3 linked regions of the Bombyx mori genome follow. The main gene of each other region encodes a partner of the protein of the gene in region 2 in a complex. Links are inferred from orthologs where the notes say so. Each region holds a gene or a part of one and is shown on either strand. Other genes may lie near its edges.

Region 1 (4,296 bases), on a different chromosome or scaffold from region 2:
CTTCTTAGTCGAATACTTCATTGCTGAAGGTCGTGTCCTTGAAAGCCCTTCGGGGCTCTTTGTACCATCAGCTTCCATTTGCTTCGGTTTTCGGCTTCTCTCAGGGCGTAGATACTTAACTAACTTTAATCAAATTACAGCACATCCCACGCACTATACTCCAGCCGACAGAAGCGTACCCTTTATTGCTTCCTCTCCCGGACACGACGATCCCGGAGATCAGTCCCCCGGAGACACCGGACATACAGACCGAACGGACAGAGAGCGACTCCAACCCGAGCATCACGACCACCAAGAGCCTACAACAATAACCGACGAACATCAATCTCAACCGATGTCCAAAGATGATGAAAAACCCTACAAAAATCAAAACGATGCACCAATTAAATCAGAAAGACCAATGGACGTAGAGCATAAAGAACAGACTTATCAAGAGGATGCGAATTTCATTGGACAGGAACAAAATTACGAAGCAACAGAAATGCAATACCAACCTGAATACCAAAATAATTACGAGGAGCCGACTTACGCAAACGAACAATATGAAAATTATGAACAATATCAGCAATATGCTGACCCCAACGCGCAATATAGCGAAGAACAATACAACAACATAGCCGAAGTCAACTACCAACCCGAGCAGAATTACGAACAAAGCTATGAGAACACAGCGGAGGCTCCACAAGAACAATATTACCCAGAGTCAAATGACACAAATCCAAGTGATGCTCCAACGAAAATGGCGGAGGAACATCAGAGTTAGCAATTCGTATGTTTTTATTTCTTGCAACATTCCGTTACAACGCTTTTGATAGAGTAACGTGCCACTAATATAGATTAGCTTTCGGCGTCGGATAAATAAACTATGAAAGTTGAATGTGTTGAATAATAAAATCTATTGAAATGTTTATCGAGAAACGAGTTAATAAATCGCTCAATACTTATATTGCAATTGGATATGATGTTTTATTTGATGTTTTTTTTATCTACAGGGAAAACGTGATTATTTTGTTTTTTTCTTCAACTTAAGCCCCATGATCTCGATTTTGTCTTGACGGTTTCTAAAACAATATACAAAGTACTTAAGGGTCAGGGTGCGCACAGAAGTCGTGTAGGACTATGCGATTTATAAGTGGCACGAGTTGGCTTCGAACCTATTTGGACTGCCAAGCAGTTCTTGTTTGCATGAGACCGACGTTACACTATTTAATTTGAAGAAAATACAGCACGAAACATTAAGGACTATTTGGCGGGCACTCAAGCTGTTACTTTTTAATTTAATGTCTCTTCAGGCTTAAAATTTACATATTAATCGATTAGAATTCGTAAAAGTACATTGAAATATTAACCGTAGTCTTAGTGAAAAATAGGCCGTGGCATAACGGGCCCTTCCAAAAAGTCCGTGGAAAATAGGAAGAATAAGTCCGTCTTAGTAAACCAACTGTCCACCCATTTGATTGCAAGGTATTTTCATCTCATCTAAGTCCTGACCGTCTTTTATATTAATTCATTGAATTTCATTTTCTTTATTCAATTTAATTCCAGAACCAATTCAATTTGTATTATGTATTGTTTTAGTTCCACTTTTAATACCACAGACACGGAACCGCACTTCGGTACAAGTTTTGACTGTATGGGCTTCATTCCTGTTGCCTATCCAAATGACAATTCAAAAGAAAACTATTAGTAACAACATCAACTTAAATAAATTTTATTTCTAACAAATATTAAGTGTATTAACTATGATTTCTTAATAAAACTAGCTGTTCACTAGCAGAGCATATTTTAATATTTGATAAGTAATATTTAATTAATATAACCTACATATTATTCAGTCAAAACAACAATTTAATAAAATTTCGTACTAATACAAGCTCGTTAGGTTAGTAAGAAACAGAACAAAAATGGTTTGTGAGAAGTGCGAAAAGAAATTGGGCAGAGTAATAACGCCGGACCCTTGGAAGGCTGGAGCTAGGAATACCGTGGAGTCCGGCGGACGTGTTGTTGGAGAAAACAAAGCATTAACCGCCAAAAAAGGACGATTTAATCCGTACACTTCCACATTTCAACAGTGCAAGTGAGTAATCCTGATGTTTAAAAACCAATTTTGCCTCATACATTCTTAATAATACTTCCCCAATTTTACCTCATACATTCTTAATAATACTTCCCCAATTTTAACTCATACATTCTTAATAATACTTCCCCAATTTTAACTCATACATTCTTAATAATACTTCTCCAATTTTAACTCATACATTCTTAATAGTACTTCCCCAATTTTGCCTCATACATTCTTAATAATACTTCCCCAATTTTACCTCATACATTCTTAATAATACTTCCCCAATTTTACCTCATACATTCTTAATAATACTTCCCCAATTTTAACTCATACATTCTTAATAATACTTCTCCAATTTTAACTCATACATTCTTAATAGTACTTCCCCAATTTTGCCTCATACATTCTTAATAATACTTCCCCAATTTTGCCTCATACATTCTTAATAATACTTCCCCAATTTTGCCTCATACATTCTTAATAATACTTCCCCAATTTTACCTCATACATTCTTAATAATACTTCCCCAATTTTAACTCATACATTCTTAATAATACTTCTCCAATTTTAACTCATACATTCTTAATAGTACTTCCCCAATTTTGCCTCATACATTCTTAATAATACTTCCCCAATTTTGCCTCATACATTCTTAATAATACTTCCCCAATTTTACCTCATACATTCTTAATAATACTTCCCCAATTTTAACTCATACATTCTTAATAATACTTCTCCAATTTTAACTCATACATTCTTAATAATACTTCCCCAATTTTGCCTCATATATTCATAATAATACTTCCTAATCCCGAACGCTTCAGACAAACACACTAAATACTGCTGGACTTTTAGTTACCAATATGTAAAATAACAATACAATAAAAGTTAGTTGTTACTTGTTTGAAGGATGTTTTTTATATTCATTATCCCTTCTTCTCTTGAGTGATTTATTTAGTACACTACATGGGTAGATTAATAGGGCCATAGATGATTGTAATGTGTACGTTGTTTTTATATGAAGAGATGCAGTTGAAGATTTATTCGAATTTAAAAATGGCTCTCCTTTGAAAATGGGACAAATTTATGGTTGCAATAACTAGGTTTGTGGAACCTATTTCAGTACATTACACCATACCACCTCCACCTCCTCGTGTCGTTTTCCTCATTACTGAACTCCCCCGCTGCATCAGTTTCTTCCGTACGATTTCCCTCCATCTGCTGCGATCCTTAGCTTCATGAAGGACATTGTGGAAGTTGATGTTCAGAGAAGATTGTATTTAGTCCGACCATCTCGTGGTACTGCATCCTCTTGGACGTTTGCCATCTTCCTTTCCTGTCAGCATCAGCTGTTCTAGATTGTGACCCTCTTTACGGGCAATATGTCCGAAGAATTCCAGCACCCAACGAAGGCATATATTGGAAAGACTAGTTATGATATTAAGCTCTCTCAGAATAGTCACGTTGGTGAGAAAGGCATTCCATGGAATCTGTAACGTTTTTCTCCAGCTCCACATTTCAAAGGCGTCTATTAGGTCTAACCATACCTCCAGTAAAATGTATTAAAAGTTTTTAAAATATATTCTTTTATTTTTCAGAATCTGCAGAACGAAAGTACACCAGGTCGGATCACATTACTGCCAAGCTTGTGCATACAAAAAGGGTATATGTGCCATGTGTGGAAAGAAGATTCTAGACACTAAGAATTACAGACAGAGCTCAACTTAGTTTATTGTTATGTTATCCTAGTTCATAAGAAACATTACCTAAATAAGTTCTAAAAGAAAAAATATAGTGTATTTGTAAAGCAATGCTTTATATGCCTTGGACTATTTTAAGATAATAATAAAGATACTGGAAATTTCCTCACGGATGGTAAAGTGTGATTGCTTCGAGGAATAAACAGATAGGATTGTAATGCCAACCTATGAACACCCACAATTAGCGGTACTACAGATAATCAAGACTTGAATCCAAGAAATCGGTTTCAAAAATGAAATGAGAATAATTCTAACACTCATGAATGATGACAAATTATAATGATTGTTACAAGTTGTCATCTGTCCTATCTATGTTCTAAATAATCTGAATAATTCTGAATATATGTTTATTTATTTATTTATAACTTTATATACTAAACGGTATAAAGGACTTAATGCCATAGGCATTCTCTAACAGTCTACCTTAGGGGGGTGCAGAGATGAACCTTGGTAGGTGTAGTGTGAAGGTGA
Region 2 (4,296 bases):
AATACATACTTGAAAAAACTTCCAAAAATGGTTATTCTTGATGCTGAGTTGAACTATTATTTATTTTATGTATATATCAAACTAGTATATTTATAAGGCAAAACATTATGTTCCCAGCATCTAATTTAAAAGCCTTTTGTATCCAATAATCCATTGTGTAAATTACCTTTGGTGGCTTAAACGGGTATTCTGGTGAAAAATGAATGTCTAGGAAGAATACTCCTCCTTCATACACTGAGCCTGGTGGCCCAAGGATGGTAGACACCCATTCATACAAATTATCTCCTTTTGGTCCTGCACTGCAGTTTGGTGGTGGGTCCAATGTAATTTCTGCCAATTCCTTTTGAATCCTCTTGGCCGATGTGCCGAGAGCCTTTGACATTTTATGGTTTGGTTTGTTCTCTTTCGTGTCTGGTTTGCCGTCTGTTGCACTTCTGCCTCGACCAGTTCCACTGCCTGATGAACCAGATGCACCAGACATTATCTAAAAGCATCAAACGCCTAATTCTGCATAACGAAGCGGTGTGTTAAGAAAAGCAAACGATGTGCAATAAAAAAATATCAGTTACTATCCATGCTTGTATGTTGACATTATTACATGTGAGTAAAATAACTTCAAAACATTGATGACAATGAATAATCTAAATGAGACTCATTTACACTGAACGTTGAAAATTAATACTGATTCCCAAATTAACTATTGGCGTGCAACGTTCCAGTAATTTGGGTCAGGACCAGGTAGAAAATTTTGTCTTGCACTTTTTTTTTGTTGGAAGCTCGAGCAAAAAATTCGACACAAAGACATTCAGATACTTCAATTTAAAAAAATTAAACTGCAAAATATAAACACAGAGACGCAAAATAAATTGAATCGCAAATCATTCACTTATGTAAAAGATCTAGGGACAAAATACGATTTAAAAAAGATTTATTTGTACCTTACGAATAACAGTCGGCCATCTTGTGGGCTGGCGTTATCCGATAATTTACGATTTTTGGTATCCAATTACCAGTTTCTGAGAATTTCAGGTGTTCTGACGGGTAACAAATAAGTAACGAAAATACTTTTCCACTTTAGGAATTAACAACCCCTATATGTACCAAAGGAATCTCGACGACGATGTCCGCACTGCAAAGCCCAAATCACCGAGTTACTTTCCCGTAATTCAATACTACTTCGAGACTTATAACTGAAATATACCTTATTTAATGATAAACTTGTGCTTTTTTCTGTTTTCTGACTATTCTTTATTACTTGTAGCAATTACCACATTTCAACCATTTGATCGTCAGCCGTCACCCGCACCAACACAAACAACTTCGTAATTTTTCACGCTGCCACTTCGTAAATTCAGAATCTTTATGAATTATAAATCAAGACTAAACAATTATCTAATAGATAAATTTACTACTCATACAATACAAATTAATTTTACTTAATCTAACTAATTACTATTAATCAATTGTTAAAGAAAAATTACAAAAATTTACACAATGCACAACCACTTTCCGACATTTTCTACTTTTTTACCAATGTTGCCGCTTGATAAATTCTTTAAATAATTGCCAGGGTTTTAAGAAATAAGGATCTTATTGTGTTGACGTTTTCTCCTGTTGGTAGAAACTTGAAGATTCTATTTGACTGCAGATTATTTTATGTACCTATTATGCTAATTTACTTTTCATCAGAAGTAAGCCTGTAATAACGTTGATAATAATTAAATTACTCTTACGATTTAATCTCGGGTTATTTCATAGTAATAATTGTTATATATTTAGTAGTTATAATAAGCCAACGACTCGCGAAACCCGAAGAAAATAATTATAATATTGATAAACTCGATTTGCTTTCACAGTTTCTCTGTGAAGTAATGTCAACTATTTTACAAAAAGTATACTTATGTTTATTTATTTATTTCAAATGATGCTAAAAAGTCACGCCACCAGTGGCTGTAAAAAATAATTTAAGAAAAACTTCGATACGACAACACTACCATTTTCAAAACAAGATCTGCAATCAAGCTTAATTAAAATCAAAATATATTTTCTTCTTTCTGACTCTGAGAGAATTAAGCAACAGTGTTATTTATTTAACGTACCTACTTAATTATAATATCGTAAAAAACACTCAAGATGGGGAAACGACAGCATCAAAAAGATAAAATGTAAGCTTGTCATTGACTATGTTTAGAGCCTAAATATTCTACTATTTCAAAACGTTTTCCGTAAATTTAAGGTATTTAACGTATACGGAATGGACAACTCTCTACGGTGGAAAACGTTCTGGAACGGCTACTGAAGAAGATACAACATTTAAAAGACTTCCATTCGATCACTGTTGTCTTTGTTTGCAGCCCTTTGACGATCCCTACTGTGATGCAGACGGCAATGTATTTGAATTGCAAGCTATCATTGATTTTCGAAAAAAGTTTAAAATTAATCCTGTGACTGGAAAGGTTAGTTCGATAAGGATTGTAAATATTTTTATATATTGCTAAGGTGGGCGGACGAGCTCCAACCCACTTGGTGTCAAGAGATCACCCGAGCCCATAGACATCAACAACGTAAATGACGCTGCCAACTTGAGACATGAGTTCCACATCTAATTTTTTCAGTAAAACGGCTGCCAATAGAAACGCATTACTGCTTCATGGCAGAAATAGACAGAGTGGTGGAACCTACCCTTGTAGGCTTGCCCTGCCAACAGTGATTACACAAATTACAATTTCTGTGGTAATGATTTTCATTGCACTATGTGATTCTATCAAGGTGGAAGGCATTAGTGAACATTTACCAATGTATCAATGCACTGGGATTCTTATCCCATAAGCCACAATAACTTGAAAATTGTATTTAAATATCAATTGGCTATGCACATAAGATTAAAATAAGTAAATGAATAACTTTTTTTTTGTTACAGAAACTTGATATAAAAACTCTAATAAAGTTAAACTTCTTCAAAAATGCTGAAGATGCCTACCACTGCCCAGTATTATTTAAACCCTTTACAAAAAACTCGCATATTGTTGCCATACGCACTAGTGGAAATGTCTACTCTTATGAGGCTGTTGAACAGCTCAATATCAAAGGCAAAAATTGGAAGGACCTGGTTGATGATACACCCTTTGCTGCACGTAATGATATTATCACTATTCAGGACCCTCAAAACTTGGCAAAGTTTAATATATCAAATTTTCATCACATAAAACACAATTTACGTGTTGAAACTGAAGGTAACTCAATTATTGTTCGTGTATAACTAGTTGTAGTTCTGAATATAATAACGAACATTTAAAAAAAATTACATTTTGAACTAAATTTAATGTGATTAATGAGAGTTAAAAGGTTATGATTGCCTATATAAGCTGGTAGTAGCTGAGGCATAAATAAATTGTTGCCTTAGTAGTCAAGTGGTGTTTTTGACTAAACTTTTTGTAACAAAAGCAATTTACTAAAATTTAACCAAGCAATTTTACTCTCATAACTACCGCTGTTCAAGTGATATTTCATTGACTTTTGAAAAAAATGAAAGTTAACTTAAACATTGTTAAATTTGCTCATTTAGAGGAAATAGCATTGAAAAAAGACCCACATGCAAGATTGAAAACAGTATCTGCCGAAACAAAAGATATATTACAAGAATTAGAAAAGGACTATAAGGCACCAGAAAAGAAAGAAGATCAAAAAGAGGTAGGTGTGGACTTCAATACAATTCAGATCAGGCAGGTCTTTAAAAACAATGGATGCTGTTATATTTATTATTTAAAAATGTTCCTAATTATCATTCAACATAAATATAAAATCTTTGTACTTTGCTTAAGCAATTGAATAGTAACTTGGTACTTGATGGAGAATGTCAATAGTTTTTTTTTATTGCTTAAATGGGTGGACGAGCTCACAGCCCACCTGGTGTTAAGTGGTTACTGGAGCCCATAGACATCCACAACGTAAATGCGCCACCCACCTTGAGATATAAGTTCTAAGGTCTCAAGTATAGTTACACCGGCTGCCCCACCCTTCAAACCAAAACGCATTACTGCTTCACGGCAGAAATAGGCAGGGTGGTGGTACCCACACGCGCGGTCTCACAAGAGGTCCTACCACCAGTAATTACGCAAATTATAACTTTGCGGGTTTGATTTTTATTATACGATGTTATTCCTTCACTGTGGAAGTCAATCGTGAACATTAGTTGAGTACGTATTTCATTAGAAAAATTGGTACCCGCCGAGATTCGAATACCGGTGCATCACTCAACACGAATGCACCGGACGTCTTATCCTTTAGGCCACGACG
Region 3 (4,296 bases), on a different chromosome or scaffold from region 2:
GTATGGTTGATAAGTATTAACCATATAAAAAATTATAAGCTAACTGTCACTAAAGTAACCACGAAGTGTGCGATTTCAATACTGTTAAATGGATACCTGTAGTTCTCACATTTGCGCGTGGAGCCTTTTTTATGGAGAGGAATTAACATTGATTCCGTCCAGTCTTCAGGCCACTGGCCAGTACGCCATATTTTCTGGCAAATGGAGTGTAAAATCTTGGTACCATCCGAGCCTAGGCTCTTTAACATTAGAGCGGTTACGCTGTCCCTCCCGCATTCTCCCTCAGGCAACATTGGAGGAAGCTGGTGCAAAAACTGGACCAAGGTGGTCACGATCCTCAGTAATGAGGAAACGACAAAGAAGAAGAAGAAGAAGAAGAAATGGATACCTTATCATCTGCTTGTCCGTGCAACTCTTCATTGATCTTCTGAGCCTTCTCAAAGATGGCTTGGGCATCTCTATCCTTTTCTGTGTCTAATTCATAGGTAGCTGTTGCATTCTCTCTCTGTTGTTGAACCGATAGTGTTGTCCTTTGAGAAGTCTGAAAGAATTGTAAGCTTATGTTGATCTAAATGGATCTTAAAACGGTTTTTTTTTATGTTCAATACAGAAGACAAGACTTCAACATAAAGATGACGTGTAAAAAGATTAAAGAGATAAAAAGATGTGTGCCAGATTTAAGTAAAGATAAACTGCTCTAATTGTTGATAATATTGATTTCAGTGGAGATATAACTGAGACACTAACAAATATCTCAAGATGCATGGCGGCATTTACTTTGTAGATGTCTATGGGCTCCTGTAACCACTTAAGAACTTAAGGAATAAAAAAAGACAACCCGAAAGGCTGAAATGGCAGCAAGCAGGCTGTTGGAACCAAAAGTTCTCAAGTGGCTATTATATATCTAAATATGTATGAAGTATGTGAAGATTTGAAGTGTGGGTAGGCCTTCTACAAGATGGACCAACAGCCTGTTTATGATATCTTATATCTGGTGCTTCAAAGGTGCAGATCTCATTATAGATCAGATTATCAAATCTGATGATATCCAAGTGAGTTGATGATGATGATGAGCTGTTAATGTTACTATACCTTTTCTTCATCATTACTATCATCATTATCTTCAATTACATCAATTTTGGATTTCTTCGGACCTCCTGTAGACTGTATGTTTGGATTTGGTTTGTTCACCCTTTTCGTTGGTAGAACTACTTGTTGCTCATCAGAGTCCGAGCTGTTTTTCTCTGAAACGTTACTATATTAAATTATATATTAAGCAGCCGTCTGGTGTAGTGGTAAGTGACATGGTCACTACACAAGGGGGTCGCAGGTTCGAATCCCGCCAAGGGAAGATATTTGTATGATAAATATAAATGTCTTTCCAGGGTTATGGGTGTATATTAAATATATATATATATATATATATATATGTGTATAATAAAAATATTATATTTATTTCCGTTATCTGGTACTTGTAACACAAGTTCTTTACGAACTTAGCACGGGACCAGTTAACGTGGAGTGATTGTTAGTAAATATTTATATTTATAAAAAAAAAAAATATCAAGTATATATGAGGCTGTCAGCGCAAAAGTGGCCTAACCCACAATTTTTCATGCTTATAATCATGTATATTGCAATTTATTTAATATATAATAAATTTTTATGCAAAACCGGCCTATCCATAGTTTCACCCATAGAAAGCAGATGGCTTTGTAATCATTATTTTAGCGCATATTGTTTTTTTTGCCAACTCAAATTCAAATTCATGAAAACTAAAGCCTCATTGCTCCATAATAACTATAGTACGCTTAGGCTGCTTTTGCGCTGACGGCCTCATATGATAAAATATATATCGACACTTGAAAGGCAAACGTGACTAAGCGACAATGCGTGAACTTTACGGTAGACTAATTTAAAGTTGAAATACATGAAAACAAAATTTATTTTAACGAATCCAGTTGTAGTAGAAACTAGCTAGTAGCTGTAGGATTGAAATAATTTTAATAGACCTAGAAATATATATTTTTTGCGGATCGAATATGGTTATTGCCTATCATTTATGTGCAAAGCAGTTATTGTCGCTTAGTCACTTTTGCCTTTCAAGCGTCGATATATTTTTTTTATAATGGTAATCTGCCGATAGTTTCTGCCAGCAATTTCTGCCAGTGTCGTGTTATGGCTACATATGGAACATTGTCGAGCTATTTAAACACACTTTATATTATAAAAAGTATCCAATTTTGGCTATATTAATGGTGCCTGGGACTAACACAAAATTAATGTTACTACAAACTTACATATTATAATAAAGATTATGTACAGAGAATAATGCGCTACATATAATTATAATTTTATAGTTAGTAGTTATACACTTAATAAAAGCACTTATAATACGGGGGTCTGGGAACAGTGAGAAAGAGGATATGAAGAAGCGATGAGATAGTTTTAATGTACTATTCTTAGATGTCTTTCGTTTGGAGAATAATTTAATAACTTAACGATCAATATTACCTTCTGAACTGGAAGTTTTACGTTTTCTGCCACCCCTATTCTTAATATTACGTTTTTTAAAAGTACTGAGTACTTCCACTTCGGCGTCTGACATTTTGAACGATTGTTTATTCAACCTAGTGTGTGCTTACTACGATATTAGAGTAATATCTACATAATCATTAATGAGGACACAATAATACTAAATAAAAGTACTGTATTTCACTTTAGGACCTTCAAGTATTGTCGGTATTTATAGGGTTTTTAATTAATTTTTGCATTTCACAACATGATAATATTGGCAATGATCAAAATAATGCTCATTTTTAACATTGACATGTGATTGATTTTGACGGATAGTTGTTTTTTTAAACTATGATTTGTCTATTGAATGGAGGGAATACTGCCCATACAACATAGCTTAAACATTTATAGCAATGCCTGAAGTTAAATCAAAACTTAAATTAGCATATGGAATAATAAGGTTAAATAAGAGAAAGCCGTACATGTTGTATAAGATGAAATAAAATAGCCTGTCAGTAAATTAGCGGAGACTTATTGAGGCTTCTAGGCAATTTGGAAGGGACCCGAGCAGCCACACAGCCACATTGAGGAATTCTTTTTTTTTTCACACTTAAGCCCTTTCTACTACTACTGTTAAAAGTTGAAACCAGAGTTAAAACTCAAACATTGTAATGGACATAATAAACACTATTCTTATCACGATGTTCATGTCTCTTTTATAGTAATAATAAATAGATAAATTAATAAAGTCATTAGCTGCCTTGAAATAAAGTGGAAGTGGAATCATAATTTACCATACAAACTGGAAATATTGAATGCTAAAAGGTTTAGGGTGTAATTTTTTTTTTATTGCTTAGATGGATGGACGAGCTCACAGCGCACCTGATGTTCAGTGGTTACTGGAGCCCATAGACATCTACAACGTAAATGCGCCACCCATCTTGAGATATAAGTTCTAAGGTCTCAGTATAGTTACAACGGCTACCCCACGCTTCGAACCGAAACGCATTACTGCTTCACGGCGGAAATAGGCAGGGTGGTGGTATCTGCCCTTGCGGACTCACGAGAGGTTCTACCACCAGTGATTACGCAAATTATAATTTTGTGGGTTTGATTTTTAATACACGATGTTATTCCTTCCCCGTGGAAGACAATCGTGAACATTTGTTGAGTACGTATTTCATTAGAAAAATTGGTACCCGCCTGCGGGATTCGAACACCGGTGCATCGCTCAACACGAATGCACCGGACGATTTATCCTTTAGGGCACGACGACTTGATATTTTAAGGAATGCACAAAAAACTCAGTCTAGTTTTATCGATCCTTGTATTAAAACGTCACAGGTTACAGCGCTCACTGATTGCTTGTCACTTGTCAGGCTTAATATTGCCGTATTCTGCAACGCGGCCCCGTTTTGTATTTCTTAGATGACCGTTATGAGAAGTGCACATTTATGAAACACAATAAAAGAATGACATCGTGTAATAAAATGCAAACTGTAAAAATAATAATTGTGTATAGGTATTGTGTGCTCGCATAGATAAATTATTTTGTATACACCATTAATGGCTGCCACAAAAAACATTTAAGAATGATCACTAATTATGTAGTATGATAAGAGATAATTTTTCTGAAGAGCCCAGAATACTTTTCATACTCGCCTTTCGTGATTTGTAAAAATGTGATTAATTTTGATGAGTAGGTAGTATTGTCCAAAATTTGTATGTATGTCTGTATGTAGTGAAGTCTCTGAACGTCATTTTCGCCGACTTCAAGAC

What was found.
Region 1: RING-type E3 ubiquitin-protein ligase PPIL2 (region 2) and cysteine-rich PDZ-binding protein share a complex: the UniProt entries of both Homo sapiens proteins name them as parts of the minor spliceosome. The link is inferred for Bombyx mori from reciprocal best matches to the Homo sapiens genes PPIL2 and CRIPT.
Region 3: RING-type E3 ubiquitin-protein ligase PPIL2 (region 2) and E3 ubiquitin-protein ligase RNF113A share a complex: the UniProt entries of both Homo sapiens proteins name them as parts of the minor spliceosome. The link is inferred for Bombyx mori from reciprocal best matches to the Homo sapiens genes PPIL2 and RNF113A.

What each region holds. Positions count from the first base shown.
Region 1 is NC_085130.1:5,681,406-5,685,701, reverse strand, and holds cysteine-rich PDZ-binding protein, read left to right. Parts: upstream 1-1,642; 5' UTR 1,643-1,904; coding exon 1,905-2,077; intron 2,078-3,663; coding exon 3,664-3,793; 3' UTR 3,794-3,872; downstream 3,873-4,296. Other genes in the region: drebrin-like protein, read left to right, coding at 141-763. UniProt on the Homo sapiens protein: As a component of the minor spliceosome, involved in the splicing of U12-type introns in pre-mRNAs. Involved in the cytoskeletal anchoring of DLG4 in excitatory synapses.
Region 2 is NC_085116.1:14,590,432-14,594,727, forward strand, and holds the start of RING-type E3 ubiquitin-protein ligase PPIL2, read left to right. Parts: upstream 1-1,957; 5' UTR 1,958-2,133; coding exon 2,134-2,165; intron 2,166-2,236; coding exon 2,237-2,456; intron 2,457-2,920; coding exon 2,921-3,233; intron 3,234-3,565; coding exon 3,566-3,690; intron 3,691-4,296. Other genes in the region: ubiquitin-conjugating enzyme E2-24 kDa, read right to left, coding at 167-481. UniProt on the Homo sapiens protein: Has a ubiquitin-protein ligase activity acting as an E3 ubiquitin protein ligase or as an ubiquitin-ubiquitin ligase promoting elongation of ubiquitin chains on substrates.
Region 3 is NC_085108.1:7,585,781-7,590,076, reverse strand, and holds the start of E3 ubiquitin-protein ligase RNF113A, read right to left. Parts: upstream 2,859-4,296; 5' UTR 2,609-2,858; coding exon 2,515-2,608; intron 1,245-2,514; coding exon 1,093-1,244; intron 542-1,092; coding exon 389-541; intron 1-388. UniProt on the Homo sapiens protein: Required for pre-mRNA splicing as component of the spliceosome. As a component of the minor spliceosome, involved in the splicing of U12-type introns in pre-mRNAs. E3 ubiquitin-protein ligase that catalyzes the transfer of ubiquitin onto target proteins.